Saccharomyces cerevisiae S288C: one gene and its partners. Changing the gene in region 1 together with any one later gene gives a genetic interaction. Each region holds a gene or a part of one and is shown on either strand. Other genes may lie near its edges.

The links.
Region 2: mutations in YBR137W (region 1) and GRH1 together harm fitness more than expected from each alone (negative genetic interaction), as found in Saccharomyces cerevisiae (one large-scale study listed by BioGRID).
Region 3: mutations in YBR137W (region 1) and ERP4 together harm fitness more than expected from each alone (negative genetic interaction), as found in Saccharomyces cerevisiae (one large-scale study listed by BioGRID).
Region 4: mutations in YBR137W (region 1) and FHL1 together harm fitness more than expected from each alone (negative genetic interaction), as found in Saccharomyces cerevisiae (one large-scale study listed by BioGRID).

What each region holds. Positions count from the first base shown.
Region 1 is NC_001134.8:511,433-518,062, reverse strand, and holds YBR137W (uncharacterized protein), read right to left. Parts: upstream 5,020-6,630; coding exon 4,480-5,019; downstream 1-4,479. Other genes in the region: GTPase-activating protein IRA1, read left to right, coding at 1-713; ATG42 (carboxypeptidase C), read right to left, coding at 873-2,399; YBR138C (uncharacterized protein), read left to right, coding at 2,727-4,301; protein kinase MEC1, read right to left, coding at 5,289-6,630.
Region 2 is NC_001136.10:1,472,592-1,480,154, reverse strand, and holds GRH1 (Grh1p), read right to left. Parts: upstream 2,917-7,563; coding exon 1,798-2,916; downstream 1-1,797. Other genes in the region: protein disulfide isomerase EUG1, read right to left, coding at 1-1,547; EMI2 (putative glucokinase), read left to right, coding at 3,679-5,181; SLF1 (Slf1p), read right to left, coding at 5,383-6,726; YDR514C (uncharacterized protein), read left to right, coding at 7,156-7,563. UniProt on the Saccharomyces cerevisiae protein: Involved in the spindle assembly checkpoint. Involved in ER to Golgi vesicle-mediated transport by either facilitating USO1-dependent and -independent tethering or increasing target accuracy of fusion events of COPII-coated vesicles.
Region 3 is NC_001147.6:358,277-365,189, forward strand, and holds ERP4 (Erp4p), read right to left. Parts: upstream 2,809-6,913; coding exon 2,185-2,808; downstream 1-2,184. Other genes in the region: protein phosphatase 2A regulatory subunit RTS1, read left to right, coding at 1-1,671; YOR015W (uncharacterized protein), read left to right, coding at 1,717-2,076; PET127 (Pet127p), read left to right, coding at 3,136-5,538; ROD1 (Rod1p), read left to right, coding at 6,093-6,913. UniProt on the Saccharomyces cerevisiae protein: Involved in vesicular protein trafficking.
Region 4 is NC_001148.4:731,851-741,095, forward strand, and holds FHL1 (Fhl1p), read right to left. Parts: upstream 4,584-9,245; coding exon 1,773-4,583; downstream 1-1,772. Other genes in the region: PRE2 (proteasome core particle subunit beta 5), read left to right, coding at 499-1,362; Golgi transport complex subunit COG4, read right to left, coding at 5,134-7,719; putative protein kinase ISR1, read left to right, coding at 8,211-9,245. UniProt on the Saccharomyces cerevisiae protein: Acts as a transcriptional regulator that recruits coactivator IFH1 to the promoters of ribosomal protein genes. Recruited to ribosomal gene promoters by RAP1.

The DNA of each region.
Region 1 (6,630 bases):
TTTTAGGTTTCATTGCAAACGGTTTATCCATTCCTGTCGTAAAAGGAGCCGCATTAGATTGTCTACAGGCCCTTTTCAAGAATACATATTACGAAAGAAAGTCCAACCCAAAATCCTCCGATTATCTTTGTTACCTTTTCTTACTCCATTTGGTCTTAAGTCCTGAACAACTTTCTACCTTGTTACTTGAAGTCGGCTTCGAAGATGAACTGGTACCTTTAAATAATACACTAAAAGTGCCACTTACTTTGATCAACTGGCTAAGTTCAGACTCAGATAAATCTAATATAGTCTTATACCAAGGAGCACTTTTGTTTAGCTGTGTTATGTCAGACGAACCATGTAAATTCCGTTTTGCTCTATTGATGAGGTATTTGCTCAAAGTCAACCCTATTTGTGTATTCAGGTTCTATACGCTGACTAGAAAGGAATTCAGGAGGTTATCAACCCTAGAACAATCATCTGAAGCGGTTGCTGTCTCTTTTGAATTGATTGGGATGCTTGTTACACACAGTGAGTTTAATTACCTAGAGGAATTTAATGATGAAATGGTCGAACTTTTAAAAAAGAGAGGCTTGTCAGTTGTGAAGCCTCTGGATATTTTTGATCAGGAACATATAGAAAAGTTAAAAGGAGAGGGTGAACATCAAGTGGCAATTTATGAGAGAAAAAGATTAGCAACAATGATACTGGCAAGAATGTCGTGCTCCTAATTTTAAATTAGAGTATTGCAGTGATTATATACGTTTTTCCTTATAATTATATTTTGTTTTATATTTGTTGGATTGTAGATTTTAAATTAAATGAAACGTAGAGATTTGTGTAAAGTATAATGATTGCAAGGTTAAGAGTGAAACATTTTTAGAGCACTACTAACTAGCATTTTCCAAGGTGGAAAGATCCGAAAAAGCACGATTACCGGAAATCCAACTGTTGACCATTTCCAAACTTGCCTCCGGTTGATCATAGGGCACCATATGACCGGCATCGTATATTCTCAAAAAGGTGAAAGGGCCATAGTTCTTGACTTGTCCCAACTCTTCACCTGTTTCTTTACTGACCCATGGTCTTAACATCCTTCTCTGATACCTACGTTTATTGATCCATTCCAACTCATTGGACCAAGCATGGTTTCCCAGCCAATTACAAATATAATCCTTATCACCCGCATATATTAATACCGGAATGTTGTGATTTAATAATTCAGCAATATATTGTTGAAATGGTTTACTTCCATCGCCCGTAAACAAAAATCCGGTGAACACGTCATTATCACAGCCAGAATAATTATGCACGTCGGACCCTAGCGTTTCTTGAACTTCAGGAAAATTCATATACTGGTCGACATAGCGGAGACCTGTATAACACATACCATCAGTACTATTATCTTCACAGGGCCCTCTAATGTCATAGACGTTGAGTCCTGTGTTAATGTACGGTTCCAAAAGTGCAGAGTCACAGTAAGCAGTGGCGACTATGCATGGTAAACTTGATTTAGAAGCATAACATAACTTGTTCAACCTACGACAACGACCTGCAGCTTTACTCATTTTCTCACATTCTTCTGATGAGAGAACAGGGTGATAGCCCCCTTTCCCGCATGCCATTGGTTCATAATAATCTGCTTGAATCAAAGGGTCTGTGATACCATTACCAATCATAACTGAAGTTAAATTGAACGTTCTTTCAGGGTTCTTGACAACGATCTCATGTGCAATTTGAGGGATATAATGTCCTGCATAGGATTCGCCTGCAATGTGGAAATCGTTGGAGCGTAAATGAGGAAAAGCTTCAAAAAACAATTCCAGGAAAATGTACGCATCTTTGCCTGCTAATTTTGTAGAGGAGACTTTTTCATCACCATAGGAAAAGCCGACTCCGAGTGGCTGTTCTAAGAAGATCATTGAAGCGTTATTATTCCAAGAATAGGGATTGTGGATTGGTTTCATATCGGCGCCAATTGATGAGGGGCCTAGTTCAAATAGCAACCCAGTAAACGAGGAACAACCAGGTCCACCATTTAACCAAAGAATAATTGGGTCGTTAGCAGGATCGTTCCTACTTTCAAAAAACCAGTAAAAAAAGTGTTTGGAATCCTTATAGTCCATGTAACCCGACCATTGTTTTACGGTGTCAATTCCTAGTTTAGAAGGATCTACTGTTCTAAGTCTCAAACTGTAATCTGTGTCCACAGAAGAAATAAAAGTTGTAAACAGCGGATCATCGTGATTCAAACGGTCCAATTTAAGGGTTTGCTGTGTATTCTGTGGAAGCTTTAGCTGTTTATCCAAATTGGCAAAGGTGGTATCATCTTCAAAAAGAGAAAAGGCTCGGCCGAATGAGGCGTATTTGATGCTAATAAGAAGCTGAAGCACGAAAACTAAGTTTAGATACTTCATTGTATGTCGGTATCACTTTTTGTATAGCTGTTTTAAAGAAAAAATGCAGGATGACAATTTTCGTTCTTATATAACCCCTGTCCCCTGACATTTTTCGATAACGAAGCGTTATCTCACCTTTCGTAGAATGCTAGCGCCGCCTCGGCCATTTTTAGGAAATTTCCTAAATCGCTCACATTGTAAACAAGAACATCTTAGAGAACTCTAAGCACTTTTAGAAAAAAGGATTATACTAAACGAGTCAAAAACTATTTATCCAACAAGTCACAGATTGGAATAGTCTCGAAAACTTGATCCAACCACTAATTAAAAGGTTAAAATTAAAGGATGGAGAAAGATCAAATCCAGCCTAGGGTGTTGGAGTCAGTAGACACAAACTCATTATCCTTGCTTTCGTCCAATACCAGCTCAAATATGAATAGCAACACCAACAATAAACTCAGTATAATTGCCAGTGATATTTCTACAGGATCCGTACTTTCCAGGCCCTTGACTCCTCCAGTCGTCCAGGATATAGAGAATAACTCCATGTTACAATGGCAATTTGAAAAGAAGGAATTTATCTTCGATAGTAACAGCACTCCTTCGAAGCAGGCAAAACCATTGCAGAGAAATTCTCCATACCAAGGCAATAGTCAAAGTGAAAATCAGAACCAACAGTTATTGAATGTAAGAAAGCGTCGCTCACAATTGATAGGTGCCAAGCCTAAAATTCCATCCAAATTGTACCAATCTGTTTCCAAATTAGATCTAATTGATGACAAGAGCTTTACGTCTTTGCCAATTGCGCCTCCATGCAATATCGAAACTAATGAAGATGACAGTGGAAACAACGAATACAACAACAATAAAAAACGGCCCAGGTTGAATCCTGTAAATGAACTGCGAGTGCATAACAACAAACGTAATAGGTACGTCAGTTATGGGCCGAGTTTAGATACAAAAAACTACGAGCTAACAGAAAATACTTCTCAGGATATACCACCGCTAGTCCTGGTTGAAGACTACATACCGTATACCCAAAGTAAATCAACAAAAAAAATGGTATCTATTTCAGATTTGAAATCAAAACTAAGTAAAAGAAGAGATAATCATATCCCGCTGAGAGTAAAAAATTCATATTCTGAAATTAATAAGGAAACCAATAGAAATAGCTTTGAACCGAATTCACTAACACTGATACCCCATATATTAAGGAATACTGAAGAAAATAGGGACGAAAGTAACAACCCCTTAGATTTTATCAAAGAGGAAATTGAAATAAGTGATATTTCCATACCAAATTCCATTGAAAATATGGTGGTTAACTTGGTTAATATTCCATCTTCCAATAAAAGTTACGATGATCTTTATCTATCGGAATTAAATGTTCATTCCCAACTGAGGAAATGTGTCATCTGCGAAAAGGCCCTATATGAAATTAGCTCGAGACTTTTAAATTCAGGATACTATAAAGAAATTGTATGTGAGCAATGCACAGTTAGATATGAAGAAGCCGCTAAAATCTTTGAGAACTGCGAGTTCGAATCATCTATGGATGAATCAAATCTAAGCAGCGGTACTTTTAGTGATCTAGAGAATTCAGCAGAACCGTTTCATTTATCGACAGATGTTCCAAAAAAAATAAATAGGCACATAGAAGATAACAAGATCGACCTTAAAAAGGAAATATCAAAAAAAAAGGACAGCTTCTCTAAGGAACTAATAGAACGATTGCAGTTGCAATTGCTAGAAAATGATAAGTCAATCAAACATCATTTTAATAAAGATGCAATGGGCTCTAAATCAATGAATTGGTTTTTGGAAGCAAGAAGAAAATTGAAGTGGAAGTGGAGAATAAATGGTTTACTTCCGCATTTCTTACGCAATCAAAATAGTGATCGTTTAAATTTTCAACCTTGAAAATACATTGCTAAGAGATCACTAAAACAAACAGGACTGCATTGGTGCTGTGTATTTTTTCAAGGGCAAAACAATCAATATATATATGAAAAGCTTACGACTAAATAACAGTTATACTAGTAACGGGTAAAAAATATTCTATGGTGTTCAAGCCTCTATTTTACTTCTACCTACATTCTCAATCCAAATTCAAATCTTCTTCTAGACTTTCATTAGCAAATGCAATTAAAGAGCTGACTGCCATTAAATGGTCTTCTTCCTGCTTCAATCCACTTATAGTTAAGCAGGCATAGGGGTAGTCACTTCTCTCCGATTGTATTAGGACAGCACCTCCATGGAAAGCGTATTCTTTTGAGTCCACAAAAAACTTTTCCTCCGGTGTTTTGTCACCTTTCTTGCAGCCCATATAGAAACTTGAATGACCAAATCGAAGCGCTGTCTTCTTCTTTCTCTGGATCCAAAAATCATTGTCCAATGCACTGCCACCGTAGGTCACTGTGCGAAACAAGCAATGCCCATTTGGTAAGGAGATATCAATTGCAACTGGTTTTTCGGGGAAATTTTCTTTAACTGCATTTCTTATGTAAGTCCCCAAATCAAAGGCATCTTGATATGTAAAAGTAGACAAAAAGCATCGTTTTTCCATATCTTCGAGCTCTTCTAAGGGAACCTTACGAGAAGTCAATCTTTCCAATAACTTCTTGTCTAAAACCACCATAATAATTTTCTCCGTAGACTTTTTTTGAATAATTTGCTCTTATAATAAGGCTTGATTAGGTTGTTTCTCTTTTGAAATGCGAGATAGTCCTTAATATTATTACGTACGTATATGTTATGTTAACTTATATGGTGTCAACATCCCTGTTAAGAGAGATAGTATGACATGAAGCGGGGATAAGTATCTATTAACTCCGCCGGAGAAAAGCACCTGCAGTGATGGTTAGATCAAGAGGAAGTTCGTCTGTTGCCGAAAATGGTGGAAAGTCGTTACCAAAATGGAAGCCAACCAATATACATCTTGCTTAGATTGTCTTCTGATGTTGCTTCTTGGATCAATGTTTCTGTTTGGCCAGCAACACTCAATACCAGGCCATCCTGCGGATCTATACCGCGGATTTTGTTTCTTAAGACCTTTAGCGCTTTTTGAATTGAGTGGTCCATGTTTCTATCGTACATAATTGTTTCGATCACATTCATCAACGCTACTTCATTTTTTCTCATTAAAGCCAACGTGACTTCACTAGACTTCTTAAATGTTCCTTCTGTCCCAATTATGCCCAACGCATCCAATAAATTTGGTGTTAGTCTGAAGGGAACAATTTCTGGGACAGGTAACCTTTTGCCTTTCTCAAATAAACAGTCGAAGTCTACATGAAGAACTTTACCCGTCTGTATATCTAGTAATATGTTTTCACAGTGCCTATCACCTAGACCTAATATATGGCCAACCATTGCCATGACGGCGTAAGATCTGGCATACGTATTCCTGGCGTTGAACCAATTGATTGGATCAGGAAAGTTTTCTAAAAACCATTGGTACAAGATTGGAGGAAATTTATCTACCTGTTCCATGTAAAACTCGAGTTTTCCATCTACTGCGGTGTGCTGCCACCTATCATGTAGACTTTTCAGGCTATACTTAATTTTCAGACTTTCGTACTTTGTAGAAAGAATAGATCTTAAAGTTACAACATTCGGTACCATTTCCAATATCCCACAGTCTTCTCGAAGAGATAGTACGGAGTAAATATTTATGCCCAGGCTTCTTTTTCTTGAAGCTATGTCCTTACTCAGAAGAAAATCCATTGTTGTGGCGAACTGCATATATTGGTTATCTTGTCGGACATCTTCCTTCTTACACATGATCCCATAAATGTTGCCATCTGAACCTATTATGTTCAATTGTTTTGGCTTCTTTAATGAAGAAAACACTTTATAAGATGATCCGAATCTAATTATAGAAACAACCGGCCTAAATGGTTGATAGCCCCTCATTGAGTTAGACTCTAGTGGTGAAATGATGTCTAAATTTTTTCTTACTGGAACAACCATTGCAGATGGGGCCACGTTCATGTCAAATTTGAAGTCTTTTTCTAAAGATTTGCCTGATCTACTTGTAATGCTTTTGACATCTTGCAAACAGACACGAGTTAATGCTTTCGTTAAATCCAATGCACTAGAAACTAGATCATGAGGATTTTGCGAATGTTGTCTATACTTTTCTAAAATATGCTTACCACGAAGAACTCTTTTTGAAGAATTGGAATTTACAAGGGCTGTGATATACCATAAAATATGAGAGGGGTATTCAACAGCCAAACTTAGCAGT
Region 2 (7,563 bases), on another chromosome or scaffold:
TCATCATGTACGGTATCTTCAGTAGACACTTCAGAATCCTTGGCCTGGTGCAATTTATCATAAATTGCCTGGCCGTCAATGTGATGTGTACCTGATTCCTTGATAAATTCGAAAACATCTTCCAAATTTCTAATTTTATTGAAGATAATAGGCTTAGAGTTATTTCCGGCAGGATACAAAGCAATGGTTGGATATCCTGTCACAGGAAAACTTAAGATATCATTTGCCCCTGAATCTACTTCGGCGATCAAGATTTTATCGCGAACAGATTCATCAGATGCTAAGACATTTGCAATTTCTTCGTAAATAGGCGCAAACCTTTTACTATGAATACACCATGTCGCGTAATATTTGACAAGGACATCCTTGTCATCATCATGAACAATGTCGTCATGTGTCTTCCCAACTATTTTATAAACATTGGACTTTTGTTCTTTTGGAATCTCTTCTGACTTAACAATTGGCTTGGCAGTACCTTCACGGTAATCTTTTACCAACTGAACGATCATATCTCTGTCTAGTGGTTGTGGTTTTTCTAATTTCGCGTACTCTTCTTCTGGTAGTTGTGGTAAACCATATTTCAGATTATTGATCATATTATGGATAGCAAATAATGGGAACTGTTCTCTCATATTTAGGAATCTAACGTGGTGTGGGAACATTGTAGAGTTTAATGCAATGAAATTTATTTGGCCACGATTTTCCTTACCTAACTGCGTGAAAAGATCAGTGTAATCTTCCAATTCTTCCTCAGAAGTATAAAAGAAGTAAGCCAACGGCAAATTGCTAGAAATGTACTTGGGGAAGAGATCAGGTTCGATGTCGGTAAAGTAAGGTAAAATTACCACTTTTAACCACTGAGTTAGAGCAACGGAATTTCCGACCAAAGAGTCTACATTTCCATCAAACAGAATTGGTTCTGTAGTGTTTGGCAAGTGGATTGATAATGACTTATCTTCTGAATCTAGAAGGGATAAAAAGACGTAATCCTCAGCAAGGTCCAGTGCGACTTCTTGATACGTTTCATTCAAGCCTGTCAAGCCTCTGTTTATTACTACTGGTAAAGTTGCATTTTCCAAGTATGGTTGGATTTCATCTTCGGAATTTAAATAAATGACAGAAGCCTCGTATAGCTGAATCATGTACTGAGTGATTTCATCGGTGATCTTGACACCGCGATAGACTTGACCATCAAAAATACGACCATTTTTAAAGATTTTCAAGGTTGGGTAGGTATTTATAGTTTGTTGCAGGCAAACCATACTGTTAGCCTCACAATCAATTTGAACAACTGGGACGTTATGCTCCTTTAAAATAGAGGCGGCCTCTTCTAAGTGAGGGCGTAAGATCTGAGAATGCAAACACCATGGAGCAAAAAACTCGACGAGGACTAACGGATGAGATTCGATGAATGATTTAAATTTCTTCTCTGTTAGAACGAGTAAATCTGATCCCGGCGTAGCTCTTGCGCTGTTTTCAGCCAACGTGAAAGAAGCAAACAGGCAAAACGAGACTATCGCAGATATAAATCTTGTGGTCACTTGCATGGTATTATATGAGCGGGTGCTTGTTGGGAGATTGCCATATAATTGAAACGTCAAGTCTTGGAAATTGAAACTTTCTGAATGCTAAAATATCTATTGTCTTAACAAAAAAGGACACGCGTGCCTTTGAAAAAAAGTCTCGGTACTTTTCGTACATTGCCAACTATCGTTTACGTGTTTTGAAGGGAAAGCAAGCTTATATATATATATTTAATTTTGCTATGAAACAAAACCAAAAGACTAACCAGGAAAGTTAATCAGAGGATGACTGTTTTTGTGGTGGTGGGGCGAGGATGTCAGATTCTGCTGACTTCGCAGCGGTAGATGACTTATCTCTGCCTTCATTAAAATAGTCATCCATTGCCAATGGCTGGGTACCCTTTTTATTTTTTGATTTCTTCTTTGTTGGCACCGGTGGTGCTGTGAATGCTGATGGCACAAAAGCCGTCTCAGATTCTACTGGAACAGGAACAGGAACAGGGTTGTCATCTTGCCCCTGCTGCTGTGCTTGTTGTGGACAGTGCTTTACTGTTGGAATCCTGTGAAGAAACCCGTATCCAACGTTGCAACCCAACCTGCCGTCGGGACCTATATGAACTGTGATTGGTCTCACACAGTCAGAAACTTTGTTGTAGACATAAAGGACCAGATCGTAGTTTGCTCTTGATCTAACAATATCTTGTAAAAGCGTCTCCCCTCCCGTGGCCAACAGGCCATCTTGGCAGCCGATAATGTAGTCTTCATCTGGGATGAGCCCTGCCGATTGGGCGGGTCCATCTGGGATGTTCACGTTCAGGATATGGTATGTGAAAGTGGAAGCTATCAAAGGCGTCCATTGGACTTTGAACCCGAGTGCTTGGAACTGGTGCGCTTCCCCACTAGATGGCCTCCTCTCGTCATGGTTTAGAGAAACATCGTCCAAATCGTCGCTCTCCTTCGATATAATGCTGATATACTCGTCTCTGAACGTGCCTCCTTTAGCTGACCATATGTTGACCTTCAAAGTTCGGCCACAGTGTTCATTGAAGATGGATGTGATACGACGGTAATCTGGGTACGAAAATCCGTGTTGATTACTGACCACCGGCACCGGATCATCATTGAAACCTACTATATAGTCGAAAAAGGACTGCAGTTGGAACTGCATCTCGTCCACCCAAACAATGCGGAGACCGGAAAGCGTTTCATTGACGTTGGTGTGCTTAACACCTTCAGAAACCGCATCTACGGGTGATTCCAACTGAGCAGACAACAAATTTGGTGGTATAGACTGAAAGAAAGCGTCCAGATTGCTCGAGTCCTGCGAGAGTGCCAGGGTATCTTGCACGCTCTGCTCAAAAGTCCGTACGAGGTTTTTAGCTATTCTAAACATAGTTCTTCTTCCTATACCTTTTTACTTCCCTAGTTTCGCACGCTGTGTCGGTCGCAGTTACAGTAGTAGTCTCAGCACCCCTGTTCTTGGTCCTGATCCCGTTGCGACAAGCCCATTTCTTTTATGATAGCCAAAATGCAACTAAACCTCGTCGTCGTCGGCTTGCGTGTCCGCCGCGAAGACAGAAAAATAACGAAACGAACTTAATAGAAACGACCTAGATTTTATTTGGAAGCCAGCCCGATGCTATCTTCAAAATGGCTGTCACTGGGTGCAAAGGCGGTGGGAGAGCCCATTAAGTAATTTAATCGGGTTGTCTCACCAATGTTAGCCACAACGCAACGCTACGTCGCCACTCTGGCAGCCACCGCAACGAGCAGTAGCAACTACTTTCGGGTGGGCCCTTCAGGGGTAGTTGCCTGCGTCTTTGTTCGAAGAATCAAGTGACAAAAAACGCGGGGCATCCAGAAAGTCTTTTTGTGTGTGTCGTCGAAAGGGAAAGTGAGAGAGTGAGAGTGAATTAGTGTTTGTGTGTGTGGAAGACAGAGGAAGAAGATCGGGTCGTCGAATTCTATTATGCTTGCGATGCAGGGGGGGGAAACATGTATTCGGGATTATATAAAGTCGATTCTGTGTAAGTGTAAAATCTCATCTTGTCTCGTGTTCTTTTGTACGTCTCATACTTATAGGAAGTTTAAATAGAAACAGATATCAGTGTATCAAGGAAGAATTGTACAAGAATCGAATCATAGATACACAGTAATGTCATTTGAAAATTTACATAAAGTCAATGCTGAGGCATTGGAAGATGCAGTGGTTGAGATCTGCTCCTCATTGCAGGTTGATGCAGCAAAGTTGGACGAACTAACAGCGTACTTCATTGAATGTATGGAAAAGGGGTTGAATAACACCTCTGTAGGCGAAGAAAAGACGGTGGACAAGGGTCTACCCATGATCCCTACATATGTAACCAGTTTGCCCAATGGGACGGAACGTGGTGTTTTGCTGGCTGCAGATTTAGGTGGGACTCACTTCAGAGTGTGTTCTGTGACTTTGAATGGTGACGGAACCTTTGATATGCAGCAATTGAAGTCTAAGATTCCGGAAGAATATCTAAATGACAAGGATGTCACCAGCGAGGAGCTGTTTAGCTACCTGGGTCGCCGTACAAGGGCCTTCGTTAGGAAGCATCATCCTGAGTTGTTGAAGTCCACGGGGGAGAACATAAAACCTTTGAAAATGGGATTTACCTTCTCATATCCCGTTGACCAAACCTCTTTGAGTTCCGGTACTTTAATCAGATGGACCAAAAGCTTCAAGATTGAAGACACGGTCGGCAAGGATGTCGTGAGGTTATACCAGGAGCAATTAGACATTCAGGGGCTCTCTATGATTAATGTGGTAGCTTTGACCAACGACACGGTTGGCACTTTCCTATCCCACTGCTACACTTCAGGCTCTCGTCCATCGAGTGCTGGTGAGATTAGCGAGCCTGTCATTGGTTGTATCTTTGGTACTGGTACTAACGGTTGCTATATGGAGGATATTGAAAACATCAAGAAGCTACCAGATGAGCTCAGAACAAGACTGCTGCATGAAGGAAAAACCCAAATGTGCATCAACATCGAATGGGGTTCTTTCGACAATGAATTGAAACATTTGTCTGCTACAAAGTATGACATCGATATTGACCAAAAATTTTCTCCAAATCCAGGTTACCATCTATTTGAAAAAAGAATTTCCGGCATGTACTTGGGTGAGCTGTTAAGGAACATCCTGGTGGACTTGCATGCAAGGGGCTTAATCTTGGGACAGTATCGTAATTACGATCAATTACCTCACCGTTTAAAGACTCCTTTCCAATTGTGCAGTGAAGTTCTTTCCAGGATTGAAATCGATGATTCGACAAACTTGCGTGAAACTGAATTGTCGTTTTTGCAGAGTTTGAGGCTACCGACCACTTTTGAAGAACGTAAAGCAATTCAAAATCTGGTCCGTTCCATTACGAGAAGGTCTGCATATCTAGCAGCCGTTCCGATTGCCGCCATCCTAATCAAGACAAACGCTTTGAACAAAAGATATCACGGTGAGGTAGAAATTGGTTTTGACGGTTATGTCATCGAATACTATCCTGGATTCAGATCCATGCTGAGACATGCTTTGGCATTAAGTCCAATTGGCACTGAGGGTGAACGTAAGATACATTTGCGTCTAGCCAAAGATGGGTCCGGTGTTGGCGCAGCTTTGTGTGCTCTGGTGGCATAAAACATATCTGTTCTTAACAGCTTATTTTTAGTTTGTTTTCGTTTTCCTCTATATAAATATCTTATGTATCTGTTATATAAAAAATTATTTAGTACGAATTGAAATGAAATGTTATGTTATATTTTTAGAGAGAATCTGCTATTACTTTATACATGTTAACTATATACATAATAAAAAAAAAAAAAAAAATATTGTCTAAAATTAATCATTTATTTGTAAGTTTTGTTCAAACTGCCTGCTAATTTCACCTTGGTCATAGCTCTGACTCTTTTTCCCATTTTCATTACTGGGAAAGAAGTTTGGATAGCCCATATAAGAATAATTGTCTAAATCGTTCGGTCCCAATAGTTTCTCAATGTTGTATTTTTCAGTTTCGTCATCATTTTCATCAAAATTACTTTCCATAGCGTATTCAGCCCAATTTTCGCGCCTAATAAAATAGTTTTCCAATGGATTGAAATCATCTGCCATGTTCTTCTGAGCACCTTCTATGCTTCCAAGGGCAATTTCCAAATGGTTTGTTTCTTTATGTTGTAAAACTTCTCTCATAGATGCCAAAATTAAATTTGGGTCTCCACCAAGAGATAAATTAACCATACGGTAAAATTTCCCTATCAAACTCATGGGGATAAATCCGTCATTGGCTTTTTTGAATTTAGATCTTAAAAATTCATCTGTTTTCAAGTTCTCTTCACTAAAATAGAATTCAATTTGGTTTTTGATACTTTCGATAGATTTAAAAATAGGTTCCATTGAGTAATAATATGGTGTTTGCAATTGTTGTTGATAGTTGATGTTATTATAATACTGCTGTTGACGGAAGTATGACAGTTGTTTATAGCTATTTCTTGAATTGTTGTTCAACCAGTGGCTGGCATTGGGAATATATTCAGGTCTAGCCTGATAATTATTTGGGAAGGAGATGGCATTATTAGCCGCCTGACTGTGTCTACTATTGTTGTTGTATCTTGTTTTGCCATTCCTGTTTTGATAATTTCTTGATTGTCTACCGTTGGTTGAATTGTTGTTGTTTGTTATCCTCTTTATATTCCCATTGGCAGTTGCTCCTGAGCTTGAATGTATGTTTACTTTAGCGTTAGCATCTAAAGGTTTGGATTCAAGATTGGAAACGTTACTTATTTCCGATGTACTGTTGGTTTGACCGTTAAAGTCCTTTTTATTGATATCGTTATTATATTTGCCACGCTTTTTCATTTTTTTATTAGTCTTAGAATTTTTAGAGTTCTTTCCTGACTTTGAATTTGTGTCCTTGGAACCTGAGATTATAACAGACGGCGTAATTGGAGTCCATTTGGTATTGCTTGTTAATTTAATTGACCCCGAACCATTTTTACTTGGCTTTGCAGTCTTTGATATATCTCTTAGTTCCTCTACAGGAATTACTGTATTGCTATCTGGCGAAGATGATTTCCATGGCGATGTGGTTGGTATTGGTGCCAACTTTAAGGATGAAGTTTGTTTCTTCTTATCTTCAGCTGCTGAGGATGTATTTTTTGGATTATCATTGAGGTTTTGCGATGACATTTTTGAATTCACTTTATGATTGATTTTCTTTATCTTGGTTATATTTTTGGGCTCTCTCGTTTATTTAACGCCACCCTAAATTGTGTCTTAACAATACGCTTCCTCTCAGTATTTTTTTTTAAATAAAAAAATATGATAGAACTGCTGAACACTACTTTTTAAAACCTTTTAATAAATAGACAAGTGTCAACCAAGGATGTGCCAATTTTCCTTTGTGATTCAGCTGCGCTTGTATGTGCTTCCAGCTTTACTTTTACTAATTTTTTCATAAGCACAAAATAGTAAGATCTTTTTTCTCTTGGCGGTGAAAAATTTTGATTCGATGGATCAATAACATACTGCAAAAAACGGTTTGAGGACATATGAATACTGCATTTACTAGTAATTTGCCTAGTATATAGTTTGACTACACAGATTATAAGCTATTGTATGAGTAGCTCCACAAAGTGCAAGAAAGCATACGAAGCGGTAGTCAAAATGGTTACGCATAGATTCAACTCCAAAGCAGTCCGCAATTACCATCAACCACAAGGTTTAAACAGGAGTCTGGCAACCCGCAATGCAGCTAGAGTTAGGGGTATGGTCCCTTCAAGAAGAGGGGGCGTGGGACTGTATAAGAGTTCAAGTAGCAAGTTGATGAATAAACTAGGAAGACAAAAGACATGGATAAATGAGTTTGAACATTTTAATTCTCTGCACGAAATTGCATATACCCCTAACATTGCGTTAAGTAGTGAAATCCAAAAATATTTAAAGGCATTGGAAACAAACTATCGGTCCATCTATGAGAAAAGTTCAGAATTACTGGATAAGAAGCTGGAAGAAATTGACAAGAAA
Region 3 (6,913 bases), on another chromosome or scaffold:
AATGGTAATAGTAATAATAACAATATGAATATTAATACTAGTAATACTCAGGATGCAAACCACGCCTCCTCACAAAGTATCGACATTCCGAGATCATCACACTCATTTGAGAGACTACCAACACCCACAAAACTTAACCCTGACACAGATTTAGAGTTAATTAAGACTCCCCAACGTCATTCTTCATCTAGATTCGAGCCATCTAGATATACGCCATTAACGAAATTGCCAAATTTTAATGAAGTTTCTCCTGAAGAAAGAATCCCTTTGTTCATTGCCAAAGTTGACCAGTGTAACACTATGTTTGACTTTAATGATCCAAGTTTTGACATTCAAGGTAAAGAGATTAAAAGAAGCACCTTAGATGAGCTAATAGAATTCCTTGTAACAAATAGGTTCACTTACACGAATGAGATGTACGCTCATGTGGTGAACATGTTCAAAATCAATCTGTTTAGACCTATTCCACCACCAGTAAATCCAGTTGGTGACATTTATGACCCAGATGAAGATGAACCTGTTAACGAACTAGCCTGGCCTCATATGCAAGCTGTTTACGAATTCTTTTTAAGGTTTGTGGAAAGTCCTGATTTCAATCATCAGATTGCTAAACAATATATTGATCAGGACTTTATTTTAAAGTTACTGGAATTATTTGATAGCGAAGATATCAGAGAAAGAGACTGTTTGAAAACGACACTGCATAGAATATATGGGAAGTTCTTATCATTAAGAAGCTTTATTCGTCGGTCGATGAATAATATTTTTTTGCAATTTATTTATGAGACTGAGAAGTTTAACGGTGTGGCAGAATTGTTAGAAATTTTGGGTTCCATAATTAATGGATTTGCACTTCCATTAAAGGAAGAGCACAAGGTTTTCTTGGTGAGGATATTGATACCATTACACAAGGTCCGTTGTTTATCATTATACCACCCTCAGTTGGCTTACTGTATCGTTCAATTTCTCGAAAAAGATCCTTTATTAACCGAAGAGGTAGTTATGGGCTTACTGCGTTATTGGCCAAAAATAAATTCCACAAAAGAGATAATGTTTCTAAATGAAATCGAGGATATTTTTGAAGTGATCGAACCGCTGGAATTTATTAAAGTAGAAGTTCCGTTATTTGTTCAATTAGCTAAGTGTATTTCTTCTCCACATTTCCAAGTGGCGGAAAAGGTTTTAAGTTATTGGAATAATGAATATTTCTTAAACTTATGTATCGAAAATGCCGAAGTCATCCTACCCATTATATTTCCTGCATTATATGAATTAACTTCTCAGTTAGAGCTAGATACAGCAAATGGCGAAGATAGCATTTCAGACCCTTACATGCTTGTTGAGCAAGCAATCAATTCTGGTTCGTGGAATAGGGCAATTCATGCTATGGCATTCAAGGCATTGAAAATTTTTCTGGAAACAAACCCAGTATTGTACGAAAACTGTAATGCATTGTACTTATCAAGTGTAAAAGAAACTCAACAGCGTAAGGTGCAACGTGAAGAAAATTGGAGCAAACTTGAAGAATATGTAAAAAATCTAAGGATTAACAATGATAAGGACCAATACACAATCAAAAACCCAGAATTAAGAAACAGTTTCAACACAGCAAGTGAGAATAACACATTAAATGAAGAGAACGAAAATGATTGTGACAGCGAGATACAGTGAAACAGCAATTCATTACAAGCTCGAAGAAGTGAGGAAGTTTAGGGCATGCCACATTTCAAAAGAGCAGCAGTATATGAAGAGCAAAAAAGAACTGGTAAATGGGGTCAACTTGTTGAAGAAACCAAAGATAGAATCCCCGAATATTCGAACAAAACTATAGCAAAGATAAGCCACTTGGACAATGGTTGTTTGTGGCCTGAGATAAAGGTCTCTTTTTCTCATCATTTGAGCATACTTCAATCGATGTGTCTTCATTTTATTATTTCTATACTTTTCTCCAAATATATCTTCGTTTTTCTTTTCGCTTTCCTTCTTCCTTCTGCCTTTCCTCTATTTATTTTGCACTCCACTCTTTTCCGTAAACCTTGCCTATCTATTATTGGATTTTTGAAAACTAAAGTATAAAGGTATGTCATAAATAATTAAATAACAAAAAAAATAGGATCATGATACAAAAAAGTGCCTTCCCCTTAGCACAGCTGATCCAACAATTTTAAGAGCTTGAAAAGCAACCTATACGTAGTTTTTTTGGCGACTGGTAAAAAAGAACTGAATAATTAATGCCTGCACTATACTGATACCAACCATTACCCCCATAATTAGTAATGAGAGCCATGTTAATCTTGACTCAGTAGAACTCACAGTATACATGTTTCTCCATTCTCTAGCCCTTAAATAATCCATTGTTTTGGTGATCTTATTCAGGTTCCTATCAATTTCCTCGATGGCGTTGTTTGCGATTATGTCCTCTTTGCTTTCATGGGAAGAAACAATTTCCTTTTCCTTTTCGAGGGTGATTTCAACTTTCTTTGGGGAAGTGCCGTAGTTATTACTCAAACAGAAAGTGTACTTACCTATACCAAACGACTTCAGTAGAAAATCAGAATGCTTCTTTTGTCTTTCAGTGACGATAACAGAGCCATCAGGGGCGGTAATATCGAAGTCTATCTCGAAATTCCCACCTGTCAAAACTTGGTAACTGACCACAAGGACATCTTTATCAGAGGATAAATCATAGTAAAGACATTCTTTGGTAAAAGCAGGTAATGATATGCCTACAGGAGCATAATTAGAGGAGAATGCATGTGTTAACAAAGATGAACTAAACAAAATCGCAATCAAAGTAAAAACGCGCATAATTCCTAGCGATGATTGGGAATATATATTTATGAAAAAACTTCACTAGCGCTCGTGAAACTACTTCAAAGGCAGCTGGGAAATAAATGTCTTCAAAGCAGAGAAGAGTTCCCAAATAGAATTCTCAGATCGTCAATCGCTCATCTTTGAGTATATCACGTCAAAAAACAGGAAACAGTGAAAAAAAAGTAGTCCATAATAAAGCGCGTTTCCGTCAATGCCGTTGGTTAATAAAGAAACAAATATGTAAAAATATAATATAAACAGGGCACTTGAGAGAGCACAAAAAAGAGCCAAACGCTACCTGATACTTTTATAGTTTTGATAATGGGGTTCTACAACTGTAGATTCCTGTCCAGACGTCTATCTGTTGAGCCTTGCAGAATAGGTAGCGCCGCTAAAAGCTATCAACAGCGATCGATTTATCACTTTGGCGCTGCTCTCACAAATGCCCCTAGTGGAAGAGAAACACCAGACAAGCTACGTTCTGACCTGCATAGTGCTTTAGAGATGGTCGATGAAATATATGACACAAATTCGACTGTAGAGGACATTGGAAACAAGGAAAAGGGAGGTCGACAAAAATATACGGAAGAAATGGACAAGGCGATTAATCTACTGAAAACAAATATAAAGAAGGAGTATAGACATGATAAGTATTTGGAGCGGACAAAGGTAGGAACGTATCCTGGTAGAAGAACATATCCTGGTAGGAGAACATATCCCGCTAGGAGAACATATCCCGCTAGCAGAACATATTCAGATAGCAATTCATACACTTTTCGGATAAATGTCCAGAAGATTAGGCACGCATTAGTACGTTACAATCAAGATGGTGTTCAAAAACACAACCAAAAGCCTCCTAGGATTGGTCATGGATTAACGAGAGTGTTATACCAACCGTTGTCGCTACAAAAATTGAGAGATAATAGGAGCAGAATGTATAATTTTGACCCTGCAGTGGAAAATATTAATCCAGAGTATTTGGAAAAGAAAAGTGAAAAAGATGTGAACACAGACTCCTCTGGAGAAGGACAAAGCAAGCCAATATTCATCACACCCCACAAAGATGAATCTCTGTTAAAGGTTGCCAAAGAACATAGAAAAAAGTACATATCTTCATCAAGTTCCATGACATCAGTACTTTCTCAGTTGCACTATTTATTATCCAATTTCAGAAGATTGAATATCATTGATTCCTCGATATCGAAAAATTTTCCTCAAAAAAACTGCAATTATTCAGAAAGTGCATATTTTCCGTCAGCAGTCATTCTGAGAAAGAAGAGAAATGGCATTTGTTCTATTGATTCAGATAGAAGTCTGGATAGGGAGATTGTGCTTTCTGTACTAGGTCATTATCTTGAAGACTTTTTAACGGAAAAGTCCCTGAAGAATAGTTCAAAAAGTGAAAATTATCACTATTCTAGTATAGATGAATTCATTGTGAGATCTCAATTGGACGCGTACGACCCAAATCTACCTGGAACGGGTGTATTTGATCTGAAGACAAGAGCAGTTTCTGCCATAAGATACGATTTATCACATGTAGAGAGTAATAACAACCAAACTGGATATGAGATAGATAAAGTTTATGGGGAATTTGAGTCTTTGGAAAGAGAATATTTTGAACTAATCAGGTCTGCCCTTCTAAAGTATTCTTTGCAAGCTAGAATTGGCAAAATGGACGGTATTTTCGTTGCATACCACAATATTTCTAAGATGTTTGGATTCCAATATCTACCTTTGGACGAATTAGATTATATAATCCATTCTTCGTATAACAGCAAATTCGACAGTTTGTTAAAGGAGAAGAATGATATCACAAAAGGGATATATGGTGAGGAGGACTACATTCTACACTATGACAGGGACGATAGGAAAATTGCTTGCTTGGTGGCTAATAGGGAATTTAAGATGTCTATGAATCTGTTCAGTAATATTTTGAAACACGTTGAGCAGTTACTTAACTCAAGTAATACGAAATGGGAAAAATGCAAAATAATGCTTAAAACCGAAGTTGAAGAAAAACGATCCAAAAGTGGCCGCTTCTTTAACGAACCGGTGCTAAATATTGTAGCCCTGCCGTTGTCACCTGAGTACGAGGATAAATCTTTATTGGTAAAGGATACTTCGAACGAACAATTAACAGAGGAGCTACTAAACCTCCGCTCATATAACGAAAATCTTTTGGAGGAACACCTGAATTCCTTAGTTGGATTTAAAGTAAATGTCAAGCATTTCTATCACCATCATCCTAATACTACACATCTACCTGATTTTGCTTTAAAAAAGAACGATATTCTCGACACCGAATCCCGTAAATATATTTCTGACATGATGAAACGAGACTGGTACAAAGATATACCATCTACACAGACTCCAAACTTTTTCCACGCTTCCGATGTTTCCACTTGGGAGGTGAACTCTACTTTTACAGATATCAATGACAAACAAATTTTACGAAAACTATACTTTAAATATTTGGATGTTAAATTAAACGCATTGAAAAATCAAGTAATCACACGTCAGGAACCTGATATGTCTAAAAAGGATGAAATTATGAATCGAATCAAATCACTACAAGCCCGCAATGATCACCGCGATAATGGAAGTAACAAAAGATATTCTAATTTTGGCCCTACCCGACTGCAAACTAAACTGCGCGCATATGCTAAAAAAGGTGCCCTTCGAAGAAAACTATTAGAAAGGAGTAACAAGTTCCATATCTAGAAGACAGTAGTCAGCGTTGGGCAATCTAATGTTATAGGTGAAGTTTTACTACTTTAATGTATTCACTCACAACTTTCGACCTTATGTAATTATTCTATGTATTTTTAGATATGTCCATACAATGCATTATTCTTGTAATTATAACACATATTAATTAAACAATGGGTCAAAAAGAGTCGAGTCCCTTGGTACATATTATGTTACATTACTGATTAAGTTGAATAAAAGCATCTAACTTTAAGGAATCTGCTTTATTTTGAAGACCGAAAACTACGAGTAAAAATAGGAGTTTTAATGCGGATGAATGTCTAACCCCAGAGATGGGTTCTCCGATAAAAACTGAGAAGCTTCCTGTTCACAGTTTTTATAAATTATTTTGTATGGCTGGGCTCTTGCAATTTTCAGCGTTTTTTTATTAAGCGAAAAAAACAGAACAGGGGTCCCCTATTCAAATATAGACGTCAAAAAGATGCAGATCTAAAACTAATTAACAACCATACAGAAATCAACGCGATTTCATCACACCATTCGCTTCTCTTCCTCCATAAGTAATAATGTTTTCATCATCATCTCGACCTTCAAAAGAGCCATTACTATTTGACATCAGACTTAGAAATTTGGACAATGATGTTTTACTGATAAAAGGCCCCCCTGATGAGGCATCTTCTGTCCTACTATCTGGAACTATAGTATTGTCAATTACTGAGCCAATTCAAATCAAGTCTTTGGCTTTGAGACTTTTTGGTAGGTTGAGACTAAATATTCCAACGGTTTTACAAACTGTTCATGGGCCGCATAAGCGATACTCAAAGTTTGAGAGAAACATATATTCTCATTTTTGGGATGATTTTAATATAAAAAGTTATTTCCAAAACTTGTACGATAATCATAATAATGGTAAAATAACAATTTCTAGTAAATCCTCAACAAATTTAGCAGCATTGCCAAAGAGAAAAAGAGCCCTTTCTACTGCATCATTGATATCAAGTAATGGGCAGACAAGCGCAAGCAAAAACTATCACACCTTAGTAAAAGGTAACTACGAATTCCCTTTCAGCGCGATTATTCCTGGGTCATTAGTGGAAAGTGTAGAAGGCCTACCAAATGCTGCCGTCACTTATGCTCTGGAAGCTACTATCGAGAGACCTAAGCAGCCCGACTTGATCTGTAAAAAACATCTAAGAGTTATTCGAACGTTAGCTATAGATGCAGTCGAGTTATCTGAAACAGTATCAGTGGATAACTCATGGCCTGAAAAAGTCGATTATACGATCTCCATTCCAACTAAGGCAATTGCCATTGGCTCTTCCACCATGATCAATATTTTAATTGTTCCTATATTAAAAGGATTGAAGTTAGGCCCTGTTAGGATCAG
Region 4 (9,245 bases), on another chromosome or scaffold:
GGTTACTATCAAGATGTATCAAACAATGAAACTTTCGCATAGCTGAGTGGTAAGTGGGCTACCTTTGCTAGTGAAACAATAATTCCCTGCAAAGTGAAAAAGTTCGATTGGAAACTGGTCACGTGGATGTGAGTCTATTACCCGTAGAGTCTGCGCGCTGTTTGCGTCGCTCTCTGTATTTCTATGGATTTCACCGTTCTTTTTTCATTTATACAAAAAAGACAGAACTTAATGAAATAATCGCATCGTCAGTACACCCATACCTTTAGGATGGTTGGATGTTGCGCTGTCGCAGGAAAGAGCCTCTCCGGGTATTATGTGATATGAGGGAAAACAGCAAAAGGGTGGCAAAACGAAGAATAGCACTCCTTCAATAATGCAAGGTGAATTGTAAAGAAAGGCTTCAATATATCAATTTTCAAAAGAGAATAACAAATTTACTATTAAATTGAATAGATAGAAAGAAACCAGAAAGAAAAGAAGGAAAAAAAAACAAACATGCAAGCTATTGCCGATAGTTTCAGTGTACCAAACAGATTGGTTAAGGAACTTCAATATGACAACGAACAAAACTTAGAGAGCGATTTCGTAACGGGCGCCTCCCAGTTTCAACGTTTGGCACCATCGCTTACGGTTCCACCAATTGCGTCTCCACAGCAGTTTTTAAGAGCACACACAGATGATTCACGAAACCCAGACTGTAAAATCAAGATCGCACATGGTACTACAACCTTAGCATTTAGATTTCAAGGCGGTATTATTGTGGCAGTAGATTCTCGTGCCACTGCCGGCAATTGGGTTGCTTCTCAAACTGTGAAGAAAGTTATTGAGATCAACCCATTTTTATTGGGTACAATGGCTGGTGGTGCGGCAGATTGTCAATTTTGGGAAACTTGGCTAGGTTCTCAGTGTAGGCTGCACGAGCTGAGGGAAAAGGAACGTATATCTGTCGCAGCCGCATCCAAGATTTTAAGCAATTTAGTATACCAATATAAAGGGGCCGGTTTATCAATGGGTACTATGATCTGTGGTTACACTAGGAAGGAGGGCCCAACCATTTATTACGTCGACTCAGACGGTACAAGATTAAAAGGTGACATATTCTGCGTTGGTTCAGGTCAAACATTTGCATATGGTGTTCTAGACTCTAACTATAAATGGGATTTATCCGTTGAAGATGCTTTATATCTAGGTAAGAGATCTATTTTAGCTGCTGCCCATAGAGATGCTTACTCTGGTGGTTCTGTAAATTTATATCATGTTACCGAGGATGGTTGGATATATCACGGTAATCATGACGTAGGTGAACTATTTTGGAAGGTCAAGGAAGAGGAAGGATCTTTCAACAACGTTATTGGCTAAATAGAAGCATCAAACATATGTATATGCACATCTATATTAATGATACATTATTCTCTTCAAGGATCCAATATGGCTTCCCATAGAATTATGAAGGAAGTCCAGTTCTCATGTTTCCAATCATCACATCTATATATTTTTATATAATTATATCTTTAAGTATTGTTCGGTAATATGAGGACAGACGCCATCAATGCAAACAAAAAGTGAAACCCGAAATCAAACGAAGTGAATAAGTAGTTGTAGAGGCGACCCGATGGAAAATTTTGTAAAAATCGAAGACTGAATCTCAACAACGCAAAACAGAATAGGACGCATAGATTCATACCTATTACTATGGCTTGATCCGATCTATCTTTATGAAAAGATTTATGCTTCTACTTCGAATATGCTAATACTATTATCGAAATTTTTTAAAGTTTTTCCTCAAGGGATACATTTACTTCAGTGATACCCTCGTTGATATCCTCGCTGACCTTCCGCCTTTTAGAATCATGACCTTCTTCGTCGGTTTTTGAAATCTCGCGATTATCATTGCTACTATTCTCGTCTTTAGATGGAATATCATCTTTAGATTCGTTGTTTTTAATACTTTCACTATCGATCTTTTCGTTTTTGTTGTTCTTTTCATCTACTTCGCTTCCACTATCACTTTCGCTTTCGCTTTCACTACTAGTGCTGCTATTATCGCCGCTTCCACTAGCACTACCGTCATCGCTACCACTATCGCTCTCGCTTCCGCTCTCACTACTGGAACTGCTACTACTACTAGTGCCGCTTTCACTTTCTAAGTCGTTGTCCTGTGCAGGCTTAGGTTTGGGTTGTGCATCAACATTTTGAGAAGCAGCCGCCGGAACTGACGTAGCTGCCACAGAGGATGTAGCCCTAGCATTTTGTCTCGGTTGAAAAAATCGAGACAAGGACGAAGGATCAAACGATCCCGGTTGTTTATCATGCAAGTAATTATTGGGATGGGATGATGCCGACGCAGATAACTGAGATGGAGGCCTATCTGGTACATGCGGCGTCTGGACTATTGGTTGGCGTATCGGTTTGGAATGCTGTGCCTTAGCTGCTAAAGCCGCCGCCGCTGTAGTTTCAGGGTTCACTAATTGCTTTACCTCACCTTTTGTGACTTTTGCAGTTGCCGCGTTTACAGCAGCTGCTAAAATTAGATTCAAATGCTGAGGATTCTTGTCCATCAAGGCTGTAAGTGGATTACCAGTAATCCCCTTGTTTTTTGCCGCTTGTGTAACCTGATTTATTGTCATAGCTAGAGCCTGCGTCAAAATTGCAGCGATGACCTGCTTCGATAAACCCTTTCTATCTCGTGTTAAAATGACAAGCTGTTCCTGCAGATATTTCATTGTCCTTTGATTATCACTTGCTGTATTTTTCCTGTTCGAGGCGGCTCTGTTTGCTGCAAGAGTTTGTGAGATGTTTTGTTTTCTCGCATTAACGTTAGATCTCTGCGAAACAATATCTTTTTTGCCCCTCTGCGGCACTTGCTGAAGTTTGTGCTGTTGCTGTTCAAGTTTTAATTGTGCAGCTTGTGCCTTTGCCACAGCTATCTCACTTTGTTTCTTTTTCTGTCGTTCCCTCTCTGCAATATATTCTTCATCAAGACCCCATAACCATCCTTTGCCTTCTTTAGAAACCTTCCTGAAAGATTTATTTAGCGATAAGTTGTGTCTTACCGAGCTTTGCCACCCATCAGGACAGTATTTATAATAGGGGAAGAGTTCTCTTATTCCTGCATAAATTTCAGATAAAGACATTCCCTTGGCAGTCGAGTACTTTCGTATGCAAGTAGTTAGCATAGCAGAGTAAGATACAGTAGGTTTCGTTCTATATTCTACTGGAATCTCCTCCAAAGTATATACTTTCTTTGGTATTTTCGGTGGCTTCTTTTCTTTCTTAACAGCTGGTTTGGTCTGCGCTTTCTTGGGCTTTGCTCCAGTTGTAATCTTTTTCTTAGATTTGGGCTCGTTTTTTTTGAGATTTCTTGTATTTATTTCAGATTCTGCTATGTCAGCGTTTTCTGGGCTTTTGCTATCGTCGTTACGTTCTTGTTCTGGTAAAATAAATTGAAATGGAATTTGTCCAATTTGAATTTTTGTCTTATTACGAAGTGGCACAGTATTTCCTTTTTCAACGAAAATGTCATCCACAAAAGCACCATTCTTCCCTATTATGGACAATTCGAACCTTCCTGTCCCAAAATTGTAAAAAATCTGGGCGTGTCTCCTCGATATTGATTTTGAAGGACCAAGATTAACGTCAACTTTGTGGGAGAAGTCATTCTCAGACCTCCTTCCGATTATTGCATGTAATGTTTGTACATAAAATGTGAAACTTTGAAAGTCCAGCCTTGCATAGGCGAAGATAGTCGGTTGTTCATTCGGTAGCGGTAAACTTGCATCGATTGGCTCAGATAGTTTTCGTTGGGTAGTTTCAGCATCTGTACTATTATTTTCCGTTACAGTGTTTTGTGGCGGTTGTCCCACTAATTCATGCTGCTGAAACATTATTGGCGTTATTGAATTGTTTCTCATATGCAGCATGTTGTTTTTTTCATCTACTAATGTTGGTAGGGTCTCGGTATCTTTGTTTACTGATAATTTATGCACATCTGTGTATATAGCATCAGCAGTGGGTTCATCCTTTTGTATACTTGTATCTTCTGAGTTCCTTATGCCTTCAGTTTTCACTGCTGCTGTGTTATCTTGAGTTTTCTCCCTTTCGTCCTCATCAGGGTTTACTGGCTCTATATTGATATCTTCTTTTGATGAAACCTCCCTGCTGTGATCATGAGTTAAATCGATGTTATTTACAGGATCCATGGTGTGGGATAACAACTCATTTGAGTTGAACAGAGCTTCATCATTTTTTGCATCAAATTCCAGTAGCTTCGAAAAATCAGCGTTATCAAGGTTATCAGGTAATTCAAGTTTCAAATTTCCATTATCGTCTGTAACAGGATTCTCTACCTCGTTTTCAATATCAGTAGTCGTGTTTTGAGGATGTTTTTCCTCTGTTACTATATCAGAACTTTTTGGTAGTTTTGTTTCAATCGGTACCTCGCTTGTCGGTGAATTTGTTATGCTTTCTTTGGTTTCTTGGTCTTTCAATGCGGAAGAATCTATAGTAAACTGTGTTTCAGTGGTAGGCGATGAAGTCCCGACATGATTGCTGCTTTCTATTATTGCCATTTCCCCATCCATCTTATTCTTATATTTGTATAGATATGAGTGGGTTTTTGTTTTGAGCGGCTAGACGTTAAATCAGGTAAAAACCAGTACCAGGTATATTATGGTAATAAAAAAAGGAGAAAATAAAATGCTTTCAAATACAAAATTAATATTCGTGATGACCTTCTACAAGAGAAAAAAATGTGCCAATAGAAAAGTCCTATTTATCCAGCCCAGAAGATAATAGCAAATATTAATAGACTTTAAACTAACTCAAAGGATGACAAAGTTGGCCTTAGAGAAAGAGCTACTCCTTTCTTAGCTTGGTGACGGAATATATTTCAAAGGTTCCTTTGTTTATTTTTTATTAACGCTTTTAATTTTTCTTGTCTTAGTCTTCGTAATTTCCAGTTAATCGCAACGTTCAGAATGATAGTATGGCGCTATCATGTTGTGCTCTTTCATAAGAAAAATAAGAAATGTATTAACAGTCAAGAGTATGCAGAAAAGGTACAACAGCCAAGATTATGTTTGCGTTTATATGAAACTACTTAGTATTCAGCTCGTAAAGCTTATGTTATATTTACTGTGTTCTATCAATCTTCATATTTCTAGCTTTAATTCTTTCCTGAGAGTTTATCACCCAATCGAAAGTACCATTGAAGTCATCCTTGATATCACCTGTAGTCAAATCAAAATTGTCATCATCTAAACCGAGAAGCAACACGATTTGTGTCAATTTCAAGAACTTCTCTCTGAGATTATAGTTCAAGCCACACATATTGCCGATGAAAAGGCTCAGTTCTCTATCTAATTTCGTAACACCAAGTTCATTGAATTCTAGAGTCCATATTCTTTGCTCCAATGTTGTTACGATGTAGTCGACTATGACAGATAGCAACTCTGCATATGCTTCGTTGTGAAGAATATTTTTGTAAGGGATAATCAATTGGTTCCATTTGCTATTGAAACTGTTAATTTGCGACAAATCTTCGAAATCTTCTATGCTTGTGATGTAATTCTTTTGGTTCGAACCTGCAGAATAATCGCGAGACACATTTTTTTGATTGGACGTTGAGGAATTTGATGAGGCTGAATTAACAAAAACAGTTCCCAATAAGTTCCGAACCCTATTTTGTAGGATATTTTGGAACAAGTATTTGACAGCCCATTTGCTTAGCTTATCTGTTTGTTCCAGGACTAATTTTTCTGAGTTTATAATTAAATTCTGTAACTGCGCTGCATCATTGTCAAAAGGGAAATTGTCTCTCAAAATCCTTTGCGAATCGTCTTCTAATATTTCTATGGATAACAGCCTGTGAACGTATACTTTACTCAAGTACAACGTGTTCAGATATATCAAATAATGGTGCAACGCAAGAATGGAATCCTCGTCCTCTGCAACTACGGCTTGTAAATTTGATTGAATATTTGTCAAAGCGCTAGCTGCTGCCCCTCTAAAAGTGAACCTGCTTAGCGGAGAAAACTTATTTGCAGGTGGAGAAACCGATCTTGATGTTGCAGATTGCTCCTCACCTTTTGGAATGTATCTTTTCAAAGATACATTGGAGGCTAGTTTCGATTGTAGTAACTTAAATTTGTTTTGCATAAATTTTACCAGAAATCGGTTCTGAAAAAATTTTACCAACTCGTTCAAAAAACTTGCTAAGAGCTTAAACTGGCCAGTATTAACCACTGATATCAGATTTTTCCGAACTAATAAAATTAAGTCATCTAAAACAGATGTTACAGGGTATGAAATGTTATCGTGGTCATTGAGGGGAACAGCAGTTATAAGATCGTTCAGTGACGGTAATTCTTCTAGTGAAATACTATTTCTAAATGATCTCTGCAGATGGTTCAACACAAACACCTGAAACTCATCAAAGACCTTATCTTGCTTTAACTTTAAGGCAAATTTACCATCTGCTATTGGTGGAGGTGGTTGCAATACATGCGGATGCAAATCGCTAAATTCATTCCATTTAACTGAATAAAATCTAGAATACATGGACCAATTTTGAAGTATTTGAGAAAATTCCATTATCAATAATGCCAAGTCATGAATGGATATAATTGAGCTCTTTTCCGTTTCTCCGTCTGTTTCGATATCCGACTGATTACTGTCTATATTCACATCTTCATTCTTTTGTGAATGTTCCCATTCATTTATATCATGTATAGTCCTTTCTATTTTCCTCGTCTCCATAAAAATATCTAGAATCAAACTAGCTTGAAGATCAGCTTCTTTTTCTACTTTTTCCATGACATGCACCATGTGCTTTTTTCCATAACACGTGGCGATGACTTTTGAATGATCATTTATAATGGTCGATACAATTTTAAAAAGATGTAACAGTACTTGTGAAAAAAATCCTTGAAACTTGGTGCTGTTTTCCATAGAATTCGACATAATTTTCCTGCTTTCGTCCGCAATAATATCACAGACATATTTGGAATACAGGTCTAAACCAAGTACGTCCTGCCCAATCATAGGGAACATTTTGAACATTAAGGTTAGCTCTTTAATATCCTGTGTTCTTGTTGCTTCCATGAATTGCTCCTGAAATAAACTTGTCAGTTCCTTACACCAATTCTTTATTAGTATAGCTGGTTCTTCGGGAATTTCACTCGAGGGCACAACTTTCTTGGCAAACTCGGATACAATAAGTTTTTTATCCGGAAGGCTTCTAATTTCATTGATTGCTGTCGCAGCAACTAAGTAATCCTTTGTTTCTAAAGCAGAATGCGCCAGTGAAATATTATTCTTTAGCGTCCTGACGTCTTTTACAAATTGTAACGTTTTGTTGACCAAAGCGCGTTCCTGATCTACAGTTTCAATATCGTCATGTATAGCTTTTGCTCTTGCGTTCGAAGAAGAAATGGTGGCCACAGTCTCATGAAACTGAGTCAAAGTAGTCGTAAGGTTAGTTCTTTGCAATTCTAATTTCCGGGACTCTTTGTTGAGCGATGATTGCGACTGTTGCACAAATGCATTTAATTGTTTAGATTGTTTTGCGTAATCATTGGCTATCACTTCAGACAGCTTGTCTATTTGAGATAGTGTCGATAATTTGTCTAATAACAAGGTGTACCTTGCTAGATTTTTAGACAATTGGCCCTCGATGATCGAGCTCTCCCATGATGCATTCGATTTTTGCCCTTCCATCAAAACTTCACCCTTTTAGAGCCTGACAATACAGTATCGTTAGTTTGCGCTACTTCGCTGTCCCAACGAATTTGGTTTGTTTTCTATGTTCTATCTCTATCCCACACTTTTTTCACAATTCCTTTACAGGCGAAAATTCAAAAAAGTGACGTAAATGGAGTTCTAAAAGCTAAAGCAACAAGTTAATAAGGTTAGAAGATCGTAAATGTGTTTCAAAAGTTGCTTACCTCCTTCACTATATCTCAGCTGCTTGTATAGCCTATGACGAAAATTTATGTTCCCTAGCAAGGATATAATGTGTCAATCAACATGATCGCAAACCAGCTAGATTGTGATGTATGGGTCTATCTTATTGTTTATTTTGACTAGCATTGAATAAACAAAAAGCGCTGCTAATAGATTCTTGCCTTTATATAACGGGGATCTAACCTCATCAACAGCAAAAATCGTCTTAAAACACATCTCAAAGACTAGTTCTCAAACGTCACGCTATGAACAGTACACCTCCTACGTCACCCGTCACCAGGGTTTCTGATGGTTCCTTTCCATCCATAAGTAACAATAGTAAGGGTTTTGCTTATCGCCAACCGCAAAAACATAAAAGTAACTTCGCATATTCACATCTGGTATCTCCTGTAGAGGAGCCGACAGCTAAATTCAGTGAGGCATTCCAGACAGATTATTCTAGTAAGGCGCCCGTTGCTACCTCGGAGGCGCACCTAAAGAACGATTTAGACGTATTGTTCACTACCCCCCGGTTTTACTCTCCGGAGAATTTGGCTTTAATGTTCCGTCTTTCTAATACAGTTTCTTCCCTAGAATTTCTGGATGAGTTTTTGATGGGCATATTACTTGCTCCAGAGATGGATTTTTTGTCAAATCCAAGTTATTCTCTTCCGTCTAACAAATTAGTGGGACAGGGAAGTTATTCATATGTGTACCCTATATCATCAAGTGCTTCATCAAGATGTAACAACGATTCAGGGGTTGTTTTAAAGTTTGCCAAATCACAGCATAAAAGCAAGGTGATTTTACAGGAAGCTTTGACGCTAGCATATCTCCAGTACATGAGTCCTTCAACCAATGAAAGTCATATTATTCCATTCTATGGGTTGACATACATAACTAAATCCCATTTTAGAAGACTGAGGTCCAACGAATGTGTTCCTGGCCTTATTCTTCCGAAATGCGAAATGAGTTTATATCACTTCAATACAGCAGTGTCACATAAGCTTTCGTTGATAACAAAAAGAAAAATATGGTGGAGACTTATGAAGCAAATGATAGACGCATTAAAATCTTTGAAAACAAATGGTATAATTCATGGTGATATAAAAACAGCAAATATTTTAATAACAGAAATGCATGTTCTTAATGGAGGCCATTGTAAGGATTTTGACTTCTACCTTGCTGACTTTACGTCGGCATTTCACATTAATCAAACACCAACAGATCTGAATACCACGGTAGAATACTGTGCACCAGAACTAATTGATAGCTCCTCCGATCATGTTCCTACATTTGAA